Linked DNA regions of Medicago truncatula. The protein of the gene in region 1 interacts with the protein of each later gene in a pairwise test. Links are inferred from orthologs where the notes say so. Each region holds a gene or a part of one and is shown on either strand. Other genes may lie near its edges.

Evidence for each region.
Region 2: the proteins of auxin-responsive protein IAA9 (region 1) and RNA polymerase II transcriptional coactivator KIWI interact in binary tests that used the Arabidopsis thaliana proteins (3 or more experiments, as listed by UniProt). The link is inferred for Medicago truncatula from reciprocal best matches to the Arabidopsis thaliana genes IAA9 and KIWI.

Annotation. Positions count from the first base shown.
Region 1 is NC_053049.1:30,676,915-30,683,879, reverse strand, and holds the start of auxin-responsive protein IAA9, read left to right. Parts: upstream 1-3,941; 5' UTR 3,942-4,141; intron 4,142-5,566; 5' UTR 5,567-5,585; coding exon 5,586-5,999; intron 6,000-6,198; coding exon 6,199-6,362; intron 6,363-6,747; coding exon 6,748-6,965. UniProt on the Arabidopsis thaliana protein: Aux/IAA proteins are short-lived transcriptional factors that function as repressors of early auxin response genes at low auxin concentrations.
Region 2 is NC_053044.1:47,690,230-47,696,899, forward strand, and holds RNA polymerase II transcriptional coactivator KIWI, read left to right. Parts: upstream 1-3,832; 5' UTR 3,833-3,902; coding exon 3,903-3,958; exon of another isoform or gene 3,959-3,966; intron 3,967-4,047; coding exon 4,048-4,228; intron 4,229-4,341; coding exon 4,342-4,447; intron 4,448-5,662; coding exon 5,663-5,685; intron 5,686-5,803; coding exon 5,804-5,863; 3' UTR 5,864-6,152; downstream 6,153-6,670. Other genes in the region: vacuolar protein sorting-associated protein 20 homolog 2, read right to left, coding at 194-277, 512-664, 1,016-1,168, 1,832-1,933. UniProt on the Arabidopsis thaliana protein: General coactivator that functions cooperatively with TAFs and mediates functional interactions between upstream activators and the general transcriptional machinery. Binds single-stranded DNA.

The sequences.
Region 1 (6,965 bases):
CAAACATCGACTGTGGTATCACTCATTATGATATTTTGAGCATGAAAAAGGACGTCCGAAAATAATAATGGTCATTTTGAAAATGATCGATGTTATAGTTCCACATGTGATTTTGTTAAGAAAATGGGGAGAGTCTTTTTTTTTTTTAGAGAAGAAAATGGGGAGAGTCTGGAACCAAAAGAATAGTTCCTTATGTGGAAGAACTTGAGCTAATTAAAGTATCACATTAAATATTTTCATGTAATCGATGTCGGACTTTTAACATTAAGAGTCGGTGTTTATGATGGCTTTCCGTCAACCGACATTGATTGGATGATAACTCTTTTATTTATGGAGACTTCACATAGATATCAATATTTGGTTGAACACTTTAATCAAAGTTTAGATGTTGCTCTGTCATTGGTATACCTCAATGAAATCATCAATTGTTATGACCTTATCTAGGTGTGCGAGGAGAACACAAACCAAAAAGCGAACATTAAACAAAAGAGTCGCATGACTTAAATATCACATCGAACATTTTTATGTACTAGATGTGAGATTTCTAATAATTTCGGAGATGATTTTTCTCAACGTTTTTGCAGTGTTCTTTTTACCCCTCCATGAACTAATTCTCTTTGATGAATGTTGCATAAAATGATAGAAATGACAATTTTTTCCTCATGTTCTATATATTGTAGATAATTTTATTAAATGGGAGCTTGTCTCTAAGTCGTAATTTGTTTTGATGTGACGGTCTAACCCCTTCTTCTGTAGTCTTAATCCTCGTTGATCTATATAAAATATTTTACTCATTCCGTTTCATTTTTAAGTGCCATATTTGAAAGAAAATTGTGTTTGTGTTGTTGCTTTGTCATTGGTCTACCTCTCAATGAAATCAATTGTTATGACCTAGGCGTGCGAGGAGAACACAAACCAAAAATCGAACATTAAATGAAAGAGTCACATGACTTAAATATCACATCGAACATTTATATGTACTAGATGTGAGATTTCTAATAACTTTAAGTTGATTTTTCTCAACTTTTTGCACTGTTTTTTTTTTACCTCTCCATGAACTAATTCTCTTTGATGAATTCTGCATAAAATGATAGAAATGACAATTTTTTCCTCATGTTCCATGTTGTAGATAATTTTATTAAGGGAAATGTTAACGAGTATCCCCTTACACTCTTTAAGCACCTTTAAATGGAAAGTTTTTAATGAAAAGTTGTGTATTGAATGCATTGGAAATTGTAATAGTTGACTTTTTAAAAGAATTATTGTTAAATTTGGGATGCTTAAAGAGTGTCTCGGGGGCACTCGTTAACAAGACCCTTTTATTAAATGTGAGCTTGTCTCTAACTCATAATTTGTTTTGATATGACGGTCTAACCCCTTCTTCTACTCTTAATCCTCGTTGATCTATATAAAATATTTTACTCATTCCGATTCTTTTTTTAGTGCCATATTTGAAAGAAAATTTTGTTTGTGTTGTTGCTCTTTCATTGGTCTACCTCTCAATGAAGTCATCGATTGTTATGACCTAGGCGTGCGAGGAGAACACAAACCAAAAATCGAACATTAAATCAAAGAGTCGCATGACTTAAATATCACATCGAACACTTTTATATACTAGATGTGAGATTTCTAATAACTTAAGAGTTGATTTTTCTCAACTTTTTGCACTGTTTTTTTACCCCTCCATGAACTAATTCTCTTTGATCAATGTTGCATAAAATAATAGATATGACATTTTTTTCTCATGTTCCATATTGTAGATAATTTTAGGCTAAATTGCATTTTTGATCCCTTAATTATTTTGCTAGTATCGCTTTGACCCCTTAATTAAAATTTGATTTATTTTGGTATCTTAACTTTCTATCGTTACAAATTTTGGTCATTTACGTTAGTTTTAATTCAAAAACGTTAGGGTCATCTTCTTCTCCTCTTCTTCATCTTCATATCATCTCCATCAACCTTTCAACAACAAAAATCCAAGAAAAATTACATAAGAAAACCTAACGTTTTTGAATTAAAACTAACATAAAGGATCAAAATGTGTAACGATAGAAAATTAAGATACCAAAATACATCAAATTTTAATTAAGGGACCAAAGCGATACTAGCAAAATAGTTATGGGACCAAAAATTCAATTTAGCCATAATTTTATTAATTGCGACCTTATCTCTAAGTCATAATTTGTTTTGATGTGACGGTCTAACCCCTTCTTCTAGTCTTAATCCTCGTTGATCTATATAAAATATTTTACTCCTTTCGTTTCTTTTTTAAGTGTCATATTTGAAAGAAAATTTTGTTTTTTTTTAACTGTCATTTTTAAAGTTCAATACAATATTAATAATTAACTTATCAATAATACCCTTACTATTTTTCTTAAACTTGGTATCTGATTCAAGGATTGATTGATCTGAAGAGTTCAAACTGATCGCCACTTGTTAGGGAAATACCCTTACAATTTATTACAAAGAGAAAATTAGATGGAATAAAATATAAATGATTAATGATAATATAGGTAAAATATAAATGATAATATCAAAATTAACCATACTTATTAAATATCTTTGGTACGTGTAAAAAATTACAAAATCACACTTAAAAGATAAGAGTGAATGGATGGAGTTCTAATTAGTAATTATTTTTCTTGGAGGAAAAAGATAATCACGGGGATAACCATTTTTTTTTTATAGACAACATACCAAAAAAAAGGAAGACATAGCAATTTTTTTTTATTTTGACAAAACATACCAAATTTTCTTTTATCATTGTTTAATTTCGGAATTCATGGGATGTCGAAAATCAAACCATTTCAATAGAAAACCGCAATAAAAAAAAGTGCAAAACTTCTGTTTAGTTTAGTGGTATTTAGGTCAATTTTTCATTCAACAATGCGATTCAGTTCAGTTTACGATTTTTATACTGCAACCTGAATTAAGTCAAACTACATGTTCACTTAACTTAGAGTATTAAATTAGTAACTCAACCCAAACACCCTTCACTTAAATATATCTAGTCTTGAATAATTAATGTATCTAGTCTTTGTTATGGACATGATACATTAATTATTCAATGTATCTGAAAAATTAAATTTTGTTTATAATAGCAACCGGAGGGAGTATACAATGCAATGACCTGTGTTAGTACCTTTATCAATTAGGATACTTGGAATCACATAAAAGAATATTCATTTTCTTTATAAATAACTAGCGAAAAGACGGACATTCAATGTATCTGTCTTTCCGCTCTTTTTATTGCGATAACGTTTCAAAATTATAAACAGTGTTTTTTTTTATGAAATTTTGATTTTGATTAAAACTAAAAATATAGATGTTTGTTGCTTTCAAGTTATAACAAACCAAATTAACCATGATTATCTATTTTTATGACACCAACAATATAACAAAAAAAAAAATCCAAATTCTTTTTTTAATGACATCAACAACAATCTTTATTATAGAAAATATTGTTTTAAAGTATAATTGGTATAATGAAAAAAGTAAGTATAAATATACTCATTTAGTTTGTTACACTTTTTAGATGATAAAGGAAGAAGAAAAAACAGACATATAAATATTCATATCGTAATTCTTTTCTTTTAGGAATTTAAGGAAAAAATACAAAGTCAATTTTCTGGTACCGAAATAATAGGGTTATTTTTAAGTTAGTTAAGCTAATTTTTCTTTTTAAACTTAAAGTGAAATTGATATCAAGTTGCTTGATTTCAATAGCAAGGATAATGAGCTACTTCTAAGGACGTATTTAAGGAGACTAAAAAGAATTTGGAATTAAAAGTAAAGAAATGAAAGTGTGGAAGTTGTTACGGTAACAGAAGATGTTTGGTCTGTTTTGCCCCTGTCCCCTTAAAATGAATATAATATTAGTATTATGATGAAAAAGGTAAAATTATTTTATGAGTATGTATATTATACACACTCCAAAGCACACTTTTTGTTGCTTTGTGCTTAATGGAATGGAAGGCCCTTGAGTAGAATAGACTTCACTCTCTCTCTTCTGCTCTTTAGGTTTCACTCTTCTTCACTCTGCCAATTCTTCAAACAACAAGGAATAATCTCTCTCTCTCTCTTCTTCTTCTTCTTCTTCATTCTCTCTTCTGCCTTCTACACCAACCTTCCATTTTCACAGGTATGTTACTTCTATGCTTCATTTTTTATTTTATTTTATTCTTATTTTTTTTTTCGACAATAATTGTTCTTGTGTTGTTGTTTTTAGCTATTTTGCTTTCGGGTTTGTTTATGTTTGTGTCTTTTATGTTATTGTTTCTTAGTTTTTTCATTCACATTCCTTAGCAAAAGTTTTGTTTTTTTTTGTTTTTCTTTTTATTTGAAGGAAATAATTTGGAAAAAAGGTGGGTGTGGATCTATTTTTATAAATTTACTTTTTTTCCTCTTGCAAGTTGATTTTTTGTTTAATTTATTGCTTAATATGGGGCTATTAAATTTTACTTAGATTATGTTGGGGTTTCCTTATTGCAAAATAAAAATCCCAAATTTTTCATGGTATTTTCATTTTTTCACATTTTACTTTTTTTATTTTTTGGTACAACGCATTTTTTCATGTTAATTACGATTTTAAAAAATGAAGGGTATTTTCCATTTCTAAGCGTTCGAATATTATTTCATGAGCTTTATTATAATATTTTTGTTGAAAAAAGACTTATTTATATATTTTGATCAGTGTGAAAGTTAGGGGGTAAAAATGTTATTTTGATCCGTGTGAGAGGGTGAGAAGAACTAATCTTGGAGATAAAATCATTCATAGATGATAAATGATAGGTTCCTATAAAAACCAAACTTGACCATTAATTAATAAATCAAAAATGTCTGCTCTCACTTCTAAAGTTATTAGTTAGATGAAAAACCAATGGAGCACTGATGCACACCGGACACTAACACGTCGACACTGATAGTAATTTGAAAAAATGATACGATTGAATGTAATTACATGTCCGACAGGGACATTGACGCCTTCGATCAAAAGTGTCGATGCTACAGAGGTTGATACATACATAATAATATATACTATATCCAAAAGCAGAGATTTAAAACGTGGTTGTCTTTGCAATCCTTGATATTGTGGAAAATCACGGCTAAATGCGGCTGATGTAGCATCAATCGCAGTTGCACAGATATTAAATATCTTGATGTCACAGCCGAGATTGTAATTGCAACCCTTTTTCTAAACATTGTCTAAGAGTGTTCACATGCAATTGGATGCCCTCTTATTAATCTTGATTTAGTCTTTGCACTATGAAGAATTGGGTCAAACACCGGACACAACACTAACACTAACATGCGACATCATTTTACTAATTTGACAAAATGGAATAACTGAAGGTAACGAGGTGTGTCGTTGTCAGACGCCAAAAACACTTTTAATTTGAAGTGTTAGTGCTACATAGTCTGTGCTAGCCTACTTTTATTATTTCATTCATAGTTAGATGAAATGGTTACCATGTTCGTCCTATATGAAGTGTAAAAATTCGGTCTGTTTAATCTTTCTGCCAATGTATTGCGTGAATTGTGCTTTTATAACTTTCTTTTATGACAGTTTGCATATTTGGAATCTGATGTCTCCGCCACTGCTGCTTCCTGAAGAGGAAGGGCAGAGCAACCCCTCAACGGTAGCATCTGCATCTCCACAATCCTTGGACCGTTTTTCTCAAACTGCAGCTGGGTTGAAGGAACGCAATTACCTCGGATTGTCTGATTGCTCATCGGTTGACAGTTCTACTGTCCCAAGCTTGTCTGATGAGAAAAAAGAGAACCTAAATTTGAAAGCGACGGAGTTAAGGCTCGGACTTCCTGGATCTCAGTCGCCTGAAAGGGATCTTGATCTTTTTCCGTTGAACTCAACAAAACTTGACGAGAAACCACTTTTCCCTTTGCTTCCCACTAAAGATGGAATCTGCTCGTTGTCCCAAAAGACCGTTGTTTCAGGCAACAAAAGAGGTTTCGCCGACACACTGGAAGTGTTTCCTGAGGTGAAAAATTAAACTTTTTCCTTTTACTAGAGTTAATATATTTTTGGTGTGTTGCAAATGATTTTAGTGTCTGGGATGTTAACCTAGATGGGATTGTTGAAACTATAGGGATGCTTTTGCACATCAATTTTGAATAACAAAAGGTCAAATGGATGTTCATACTGCTTTTGAGTCTGATTCTTAACAATATGTGATGCAGGCAAAATATACTGCTAATACTCGCGTAAACATACTGCTTTCGCCGAGACCTTCTGGAGCTCAGCCTACTACAATTAAAGAAATGCCAAAGAAGGTGGTACAAGAGAGCCCTTGTACAGCGAATGGAACTGGAGCTCCCATCAGTGGCAGTGCACCGGCTGCTAAGTAAGTAGAACATGCTACATCAAGGATCCACTATTTTCTGGACAATCTAGTTGGACAAATATATTAAGAATAAACCTTCAGTTTATTCCTTTAAGTATCATTCTCTCTTCTACTTAGTCTGTAAAATATATAGAAATAATCGGTAATTCTTGCTATTATATATTGACAAGAGCTACTAGGGATTAAAGAGACGAATTTCATATAGTTTAGGGACTAACTTGACAGATGTCAGATGGTTTAAGGACTATTTATTATTTTGATTTAGTTTAGGGACTAAATAGAAGAGAGTGATTCTTCAATGACTAAAGCAATGGTTTACTCAATACCTTAGAAGGGATTTTTTGATGTCTTTGTAATAATGCTAATTACTTTCTATGTACGACAGAGCACAAGTTGTTGGTTGGCCTCCTATTAGATCATTTAGGAAAAACTCACTGGCCACCACTTCAAAGAACAATGACGAAGTGGATGGAAAGCCTGGTGCAGCTGCACTATTTGTGAAGGTTAGCATGGATGGCGCTCCTTATCTTAGGAAGGTAGATCTAAGAAACTATACAACATACCAGGAACTGTCGTCTGACCTTGAGAAGATGTTCAGCTGTT
Region 2 (6,670 bases), on another chromosome or scaffold:
TCAAAACAAATTAAACCCACAAATAAAGAACCTCCATTAATTAGTCTGAGAACAAGGTGTGTGTATGTGTGTGCGTGCGTGCATGTGTGTATGTCCTTTCCATATACTATGATTAAAACCAGCAGTACAACGGGAACAATATGAATGGATTATAAGTCAATACAAAATCACAAAAACCGAAAAATCTGTGTACCTGGGTTTCCAAGTTCTCAAACTCTGCTAAAATCTCCTCTTCATCTTCTGCTGATAATTGCTCCCCAAGTATTGCATTAATTTCCTTCAAATTCAGCAAAACCATGTAAACTATCGGCAAGTAGATGAGAATTGACAAAGAAAAAGTAGCAGCCAAATATATTAACAGCCCAACAGAACAAAAATATTAATCAACCCAGTACAACTTCAATGCCTAACCCCGTCCCCCAAAAAGATACACTCAAGTTCAATGAATCTAGATGTGGAAATCGGTTTTCAGAAGCAGCAAGCGTAAGGATAAGCGTGAAATCAAGCTCACATCTTGATAAGCTTTTGCTTCAGCGGTGTCATCCATAAGTTTCTGAACATCTTCAATGTTTATCTCACTTTGTATGGCCTCAATTGCTTTACTACCAGCCTTTAAACTTTCAAAGACAGCCTTCTGCTTGCTTGTCAGTTCAATATCTGCTAACTGAACCAACAAAGTAAATGTAAGTATCTCTTTTAGGCGTAGAAATTTATATTCATGTTAAAAGAGGGCAGTGTTGTCGCTCAATTATCTCTTCTGAACAAGACATCGAAAAGGGAAAATACCCAATGGCTCAATAGACAAAGACAATTGTAAAGCCATAGAAAGATGCTAACAGGCAGAGATTATCGGAAAGGAAAATACTCAATGGCTCAACAGACAAGAACAAATGTAAAGCCGTAGAAAGATACTAACAGGTAGAGAATGAGTCATTATTATTGGTCCAAACCAAAACAAATAAGTAGACTTTTATAAATAAATGACAGAATAATAAAATCAATATAAAAATATTACTTGTTGCTCAACATTTATAAGCCATGTGTCAACTTGCTTCAACAATTCTTCTTGTGTCTTTTTCTTCTTTAACGCCAACAATGCCCTGTCTTTCTTCTTTTCACGAATCAAGTCTCGTGCAGCTTGCTTTTCTGCTTCAATAACAGCATCAAGCTGGAAAATAAAGAACACGGAAAGGGAAAAACTCAAGTAAGGCAATGTATCATCTTTGATACTTCAGTGCTTATGTTCTATCCAAAATCCAAAACGCTATATCATCCCAGTTAATAACCAAAAAAGTGCAATCATCACCAACGTTCAGCTAATTCATTTTCCATACACCAGATACAATCAAAGACGGTCTAATTTTAACTCAGTGTTATTAATCTTGGATCACACAAAATATAGTTTTTGTTCAAATTCCTCTAAGCTACAGTGCTATAGCGGTGCAGCAGCGGCTGGTTTGACAACATTTTGTTACTAAATTGCATACCGTAGGACAATAGAGATTTGCTAAATTTCCTCTATGCTATAGCCGATATTTATTACAATTTCTTGATATAACTTGAAAAGTATGTAAAACTAATGAACAAATATTATTGATGACTTTATCGATTGAACAAAAGTAATCAATACAGTGGTCCTATTTATACATATAAGTCCATATGAAAATGAGAAGAAGTTAACAATAACTAACTTAACTAAATCTAAACTAACTATACTTGAGTTCAATTACTTTTTGATCTTTTAGCCCTAATAAGTAATTACCAGAAAATTTGACGTGCACAATGAGAATGGAATAAGAGATATGAAATTGAGGGTATTGAAAAAGGTAACCTTTTGTTGATACTGAGCAAGTTTGCGTCTCTGGGTCTTGAGTGCTAGAATTGCACGATCTACGTCGGTTACCTTAGGTTTCTTCACGAATATATTCCCCATCGATTTCGATTTGTAAATTCGATGAGGATGATCAAATTCAAAAGATGAGAGAATTGAGGTTTTGGTCGTTTCCAACACAGCTGACAAACAACCTTAAAGTTTCGGTCTGTTTGGAACAGATGATTTAGGAAATAGAGAAATATGTGAGGGACAAATAAGGGATGTTTCTATTGATTACTGTAGCAGTGAAACACACAGGAGAAAGAAAACCTATGAGCCCCACTGCTTTTTGGTTTCTTCGCTGGAATGACGAGAGAGTTGTTTCCTGTCACTTTGCACAAATACCCTCATCCTAAAAAACCCAAAATTGTATAATCAACTCATGATACGATTCCTCAAACTTTTTTTTTTTTCTTGGTAGAATTACAAATAAAAAAACTTTTGTTAGCTCTAACTAATTGTTTTTTCATTTTCCAAACACACACTAACAGTGTGTTTGGTAGAGAAGAATTAAGGGAGAGAGAAGTTGAGGCGAGAGAAATAGAAGAGAAATGGGAGAGAATTGAAACATGTGGGACCCACATATTTTTTATTTCTCTGCTCATGAGCGAAGATAGAGCTGAGAAAGGGCTACTTTTTCAGATTTCCATATTTGCCCTTGCCTCATTCATTGTTTCACTGCACTCCTTTTTTTTTTTACGTGAGTTTTTACTTTTCTTAAGGAGTGTGAGAGTTGCTTTCTTATTTTTTATTTTTGACAAGTTCCGTTCTTATTATTTTTAAGGTGTGAGTTCATTTTTTCTATCAAAACATTAAATTCGTCAAATTAATTAATAATTAAAATAACTAAACTATTTAAACTTTTAATTAATAAGTAATATTATAATAGGTTCTTAAAAAAAAGTAATATTATAATAGGTAGTTAAATTAATCTAGTTATTTAAACTACTTAAAATTATATCAAGTGATTGAATTAATTAAATTATTTTTATGAGATTTTTTATCTCAAGGGTATTTTTGTACTTTTTGATTCAATCAAAACTTCTCTCTTCTCTATTTCTTTTATCTTTCTCTTCTATCAAACAATCCCTCAAATCTACTCTATTTCTCACCTCTTTCTCTCTTCTCATACTCTCTCTTACCTATTTCTCTCTTCACAACTTCTCTTCTCAACCAAACATATCCTAAATGAAATCTTAACTCAAAATTATTTAAAAAAAAAAAGTGAGAATATGCAGCTTAACTCAAAATTATTTCCAAAATCTCACCTCATTTTTAAAATGTTCAACCTTCCCTTTTAAACAAGGGTCATATCAACCTGTGTGCTTAGGACACAGGTTATGAAGCTTACAAAGAAATTAAGCATTAAATGCACAAGTAAAAAAGATAAAATATAAAGCTTTCAAAATTAAGAATATGCATGCCTTTGGCCCTCCTTGTAATAAAAAAATATTTAAGAATATGTTGTAATTTAAGATTTTAGTTCTATTTTGGTTTCTTATCTTGTGCTCTATCATTTCCTTTTAAACGAGTTAATAAAATATAATCGGTTTTTGGATCAGATACCGAGTTTAAGAAAACAATGTAAAAATTTTAACTTACATTATGATCTAGCGATTATTAATGACTGAGAGCACTCTAAAATATAAATAAGATTAAACCATCAAATTAGTTATGTCTTTATAAGTCATTATCGAACTAGTTTTCGAATATATTAATATTTCAAAATAGTCTATCTTTATAAAAAAAAAATTCAATTAGATCCTTCGTCATGTGACAAAAACATAAAGGCAGAAACTTAATTGAGTAGTTTAAGATATTAATAGAGTCGATCATTAAATTAAAAATGATTTACAAAGACATATACTAATTTAGTGGATTACTCTATAAATAAACAACTCTATAAGATTTTTTTATTTTATTTTTAACATTTAAGTTTTTATTTTTTTAAGGAGCATAAGTTTTTTTTTTTTTTTTTTGACACAAAGAACATAAGGGTTGTTTTCTCTCTTTAAAAAGAGAGTTGAACATGATTCGACTCACTCACTGGCTCTTCCATTGCACAACCGTTTGGGCGCCAAAAAGGTTTCTAGGTTTTGATTTTTCGCTTTTCGCTCTTCCAATTTCTGCTTCCGTGTATTCAATTCCACTAACTCTCTCAAATCACGTTACAGTTACCTCACACCGCGAGTGAAATCAACGCTCACAGTTTTGGAGAAAATGTCTGGAACTGGAAAGGGGAAGAAGAGGGAAGAACTCGACCACGCTTCCGAGGACGATACTGAATCTCACGCGCCTCCCAAAAAGACCGCCAAGAAAGACACTGAAGATGACTCTGGTGACATCGTCTTTGAGGTAGGTTCCTCAAAAACCCCCAACTCCATTACTAGGGTTTTCTTGTTGTTGTTATTGAAATTTAGGGTTTTGTAATTTTTACTATTTTTATTGATTGATTTCGTTTCACACAGATTGGGAAGAACAGGAGGGTTTCCGTCAGGACCTGGAACAAACAGCCTTGGGTTGACATTCGCGAATTTTACACCAAAGATGGCAAGCAGTTGCCTGGCAAAAAAGGTATCGGATTCATTTTCTCATGAATCTGTGAACATGGTTCCGTTTCGTTGTTTATGAAATCTTTTAATGGCTTATTTGCTTATTGATTGGGTTTTGAAATAGAATGGTATCTTTATATCGTGGTTGCCTAGTTTGTTATTTGAAGAGATTCTTGAAATGTTGAATAGGATCATAGGATGTTCAAGTTGATGATAACTGCAGTTTTTACTTCCATAAGTTGTAGTATTCGATGTTGTCAATCATGCACTATAGCAGTGCAGCGTGACCTTCAAGAGTAGCGGCAATTCTACTATCTGCGATACCATTTTTTGGGGTTGTGCTACTCGCCACTATTTGAGATTAACAACATAGGTCTTAGTGATGCATGATGTTCTAGGTGCTCTATCCATTTGTACTGTGTACGCTGATCTGATTTGTCTTGCCAGTGAACTCAATTGGCAATTGTGTTAAGTTGTATTGGATAGATGACTCGTGAACTTAATTATCAGCAATATTATTTGATCCTTGTTGACTTGTACTGTGTGTGCTGATCTGATTTGTGTTGCCAGTGAACTGAATCGGTGATTATGAAATGGTGTTAAGTTGTATTGGATAGATAACTTGTGAACTTAATTATCAACAATATTCTTTGATTCTTTTGAGTTTTGATTGAAAGTGGTGGCCAACTTATGTTGGAGCTCGTTATGTTAATTGTGTGTGTTTCATAATGAGATTTTATTAGGCTTAAATCGTTTTAAATTCTAGCATTTTGTGAGAAAAATATAGGACTCCTACTGATTGTAAGTGTGCGTGTTTTTTGTAAGCATTTATTTGCAAACATTTAAATTGGGAAAGTTTGGAAGTAGTTTTAGGAAGTTGAAAATACTGTAGTTGGTTTAATCAAGTGAATGGACACTGGACCTGATTTTGTTTATCAGTTTTGAAAATTGTCTCCAATTCAATTTTATGGAAATTTTGGTTAACACAACTTTTGTTGCATCATATAGATGAAATTCAAAATCCTAATGATGGTATAGATTTTTAAGATAAGCTTGGAGTATGTTGGCTTTGTGAACTGCATTTGTGTTGGAAATTTTAGGCGTGCTTGCTTCCCTTTCCCTTTCCTACCAAACCTTGATTGCTGTCTTATTGTTGAAAACATAAGTTATCTTGCTTGGTGGTGGCCGTTGAATTTATGTAAAGAATTTACAATGACATTTGTTCACTTGTTTTCAGGTATCTCATTGAACATGGAACAGGTACTTCTTGAAACTATTGATGTTGTATACTTACAACTTACAACTTATAAGATTTGAACCCATTATTCATTGATTAATTGTCTGTCTGTCTGTCTGTCTCTCTCTCTTCTGTGTGCAGTGGATTGTGCTTCGTGATCACATTGAAGAAATTGACAATGCAGTCAAAGAGAAATCTTAGGAATTTGTGCACTAAATGGAATTACTAGTCCAAACACTATCTGTGGGTTTCTTTAGTTTTTTATTAATCATTAGAAGCACCTGACATGGATCCAAACCTAGGCTCAAAAATTTGAGATTTGAACATGTGGTTATTAGTGCATCTGTGCATGTAAAGAAAGTGTTGATTGGTTAGCGTATAGTTCCGTTATTTGCTAATGCTAATATCTTGAAACTTGAAAGTTTTGAATTTTGGGCTTAGGTGTGTGTGGAGATATTTTTGTTTTTTAATCTTTTCATTTTAATTTGCATTTTTAATGATTCTTTTTTTTTTTGCTATACATATTGGCAATAGATAACAAAATGAATATTTCTTGAACTACGGACTGAAATTGAAAATGATCTCTTCGAGCTTGTTTGATTCTGTTTTAACTCCTTAGTTTTTGAAAGTTGTCTAGTAAAATCATTCTAAAACTATTTTCTAATAAATATTTTTGTAAAAAAAGTAAATATGATTAATTTTGTTTTTTAACTTCAATAACACAGTAGAAGGCACGGTTTTGTGAGTTTGTTTTATAACAATTTTAACCGAATACATTTTTAATATAATAAAAATACAGGTACGTTTAAACAAGAAAAATAAGCAAGTCTGTATTTGCGTATTATATATATTTAATTGCCATGTGAGTTAAAATCATATGCCAACAATATACGTTACAGCGATGAAAGCATGTGCAAGAATTTTCATTAAAAAAAATTAAATCCGTTTTGATCTTCATATCATAATTTTCATACGTATGTTTGTTTCCCCTCGTTTCTTTCCCTGCAA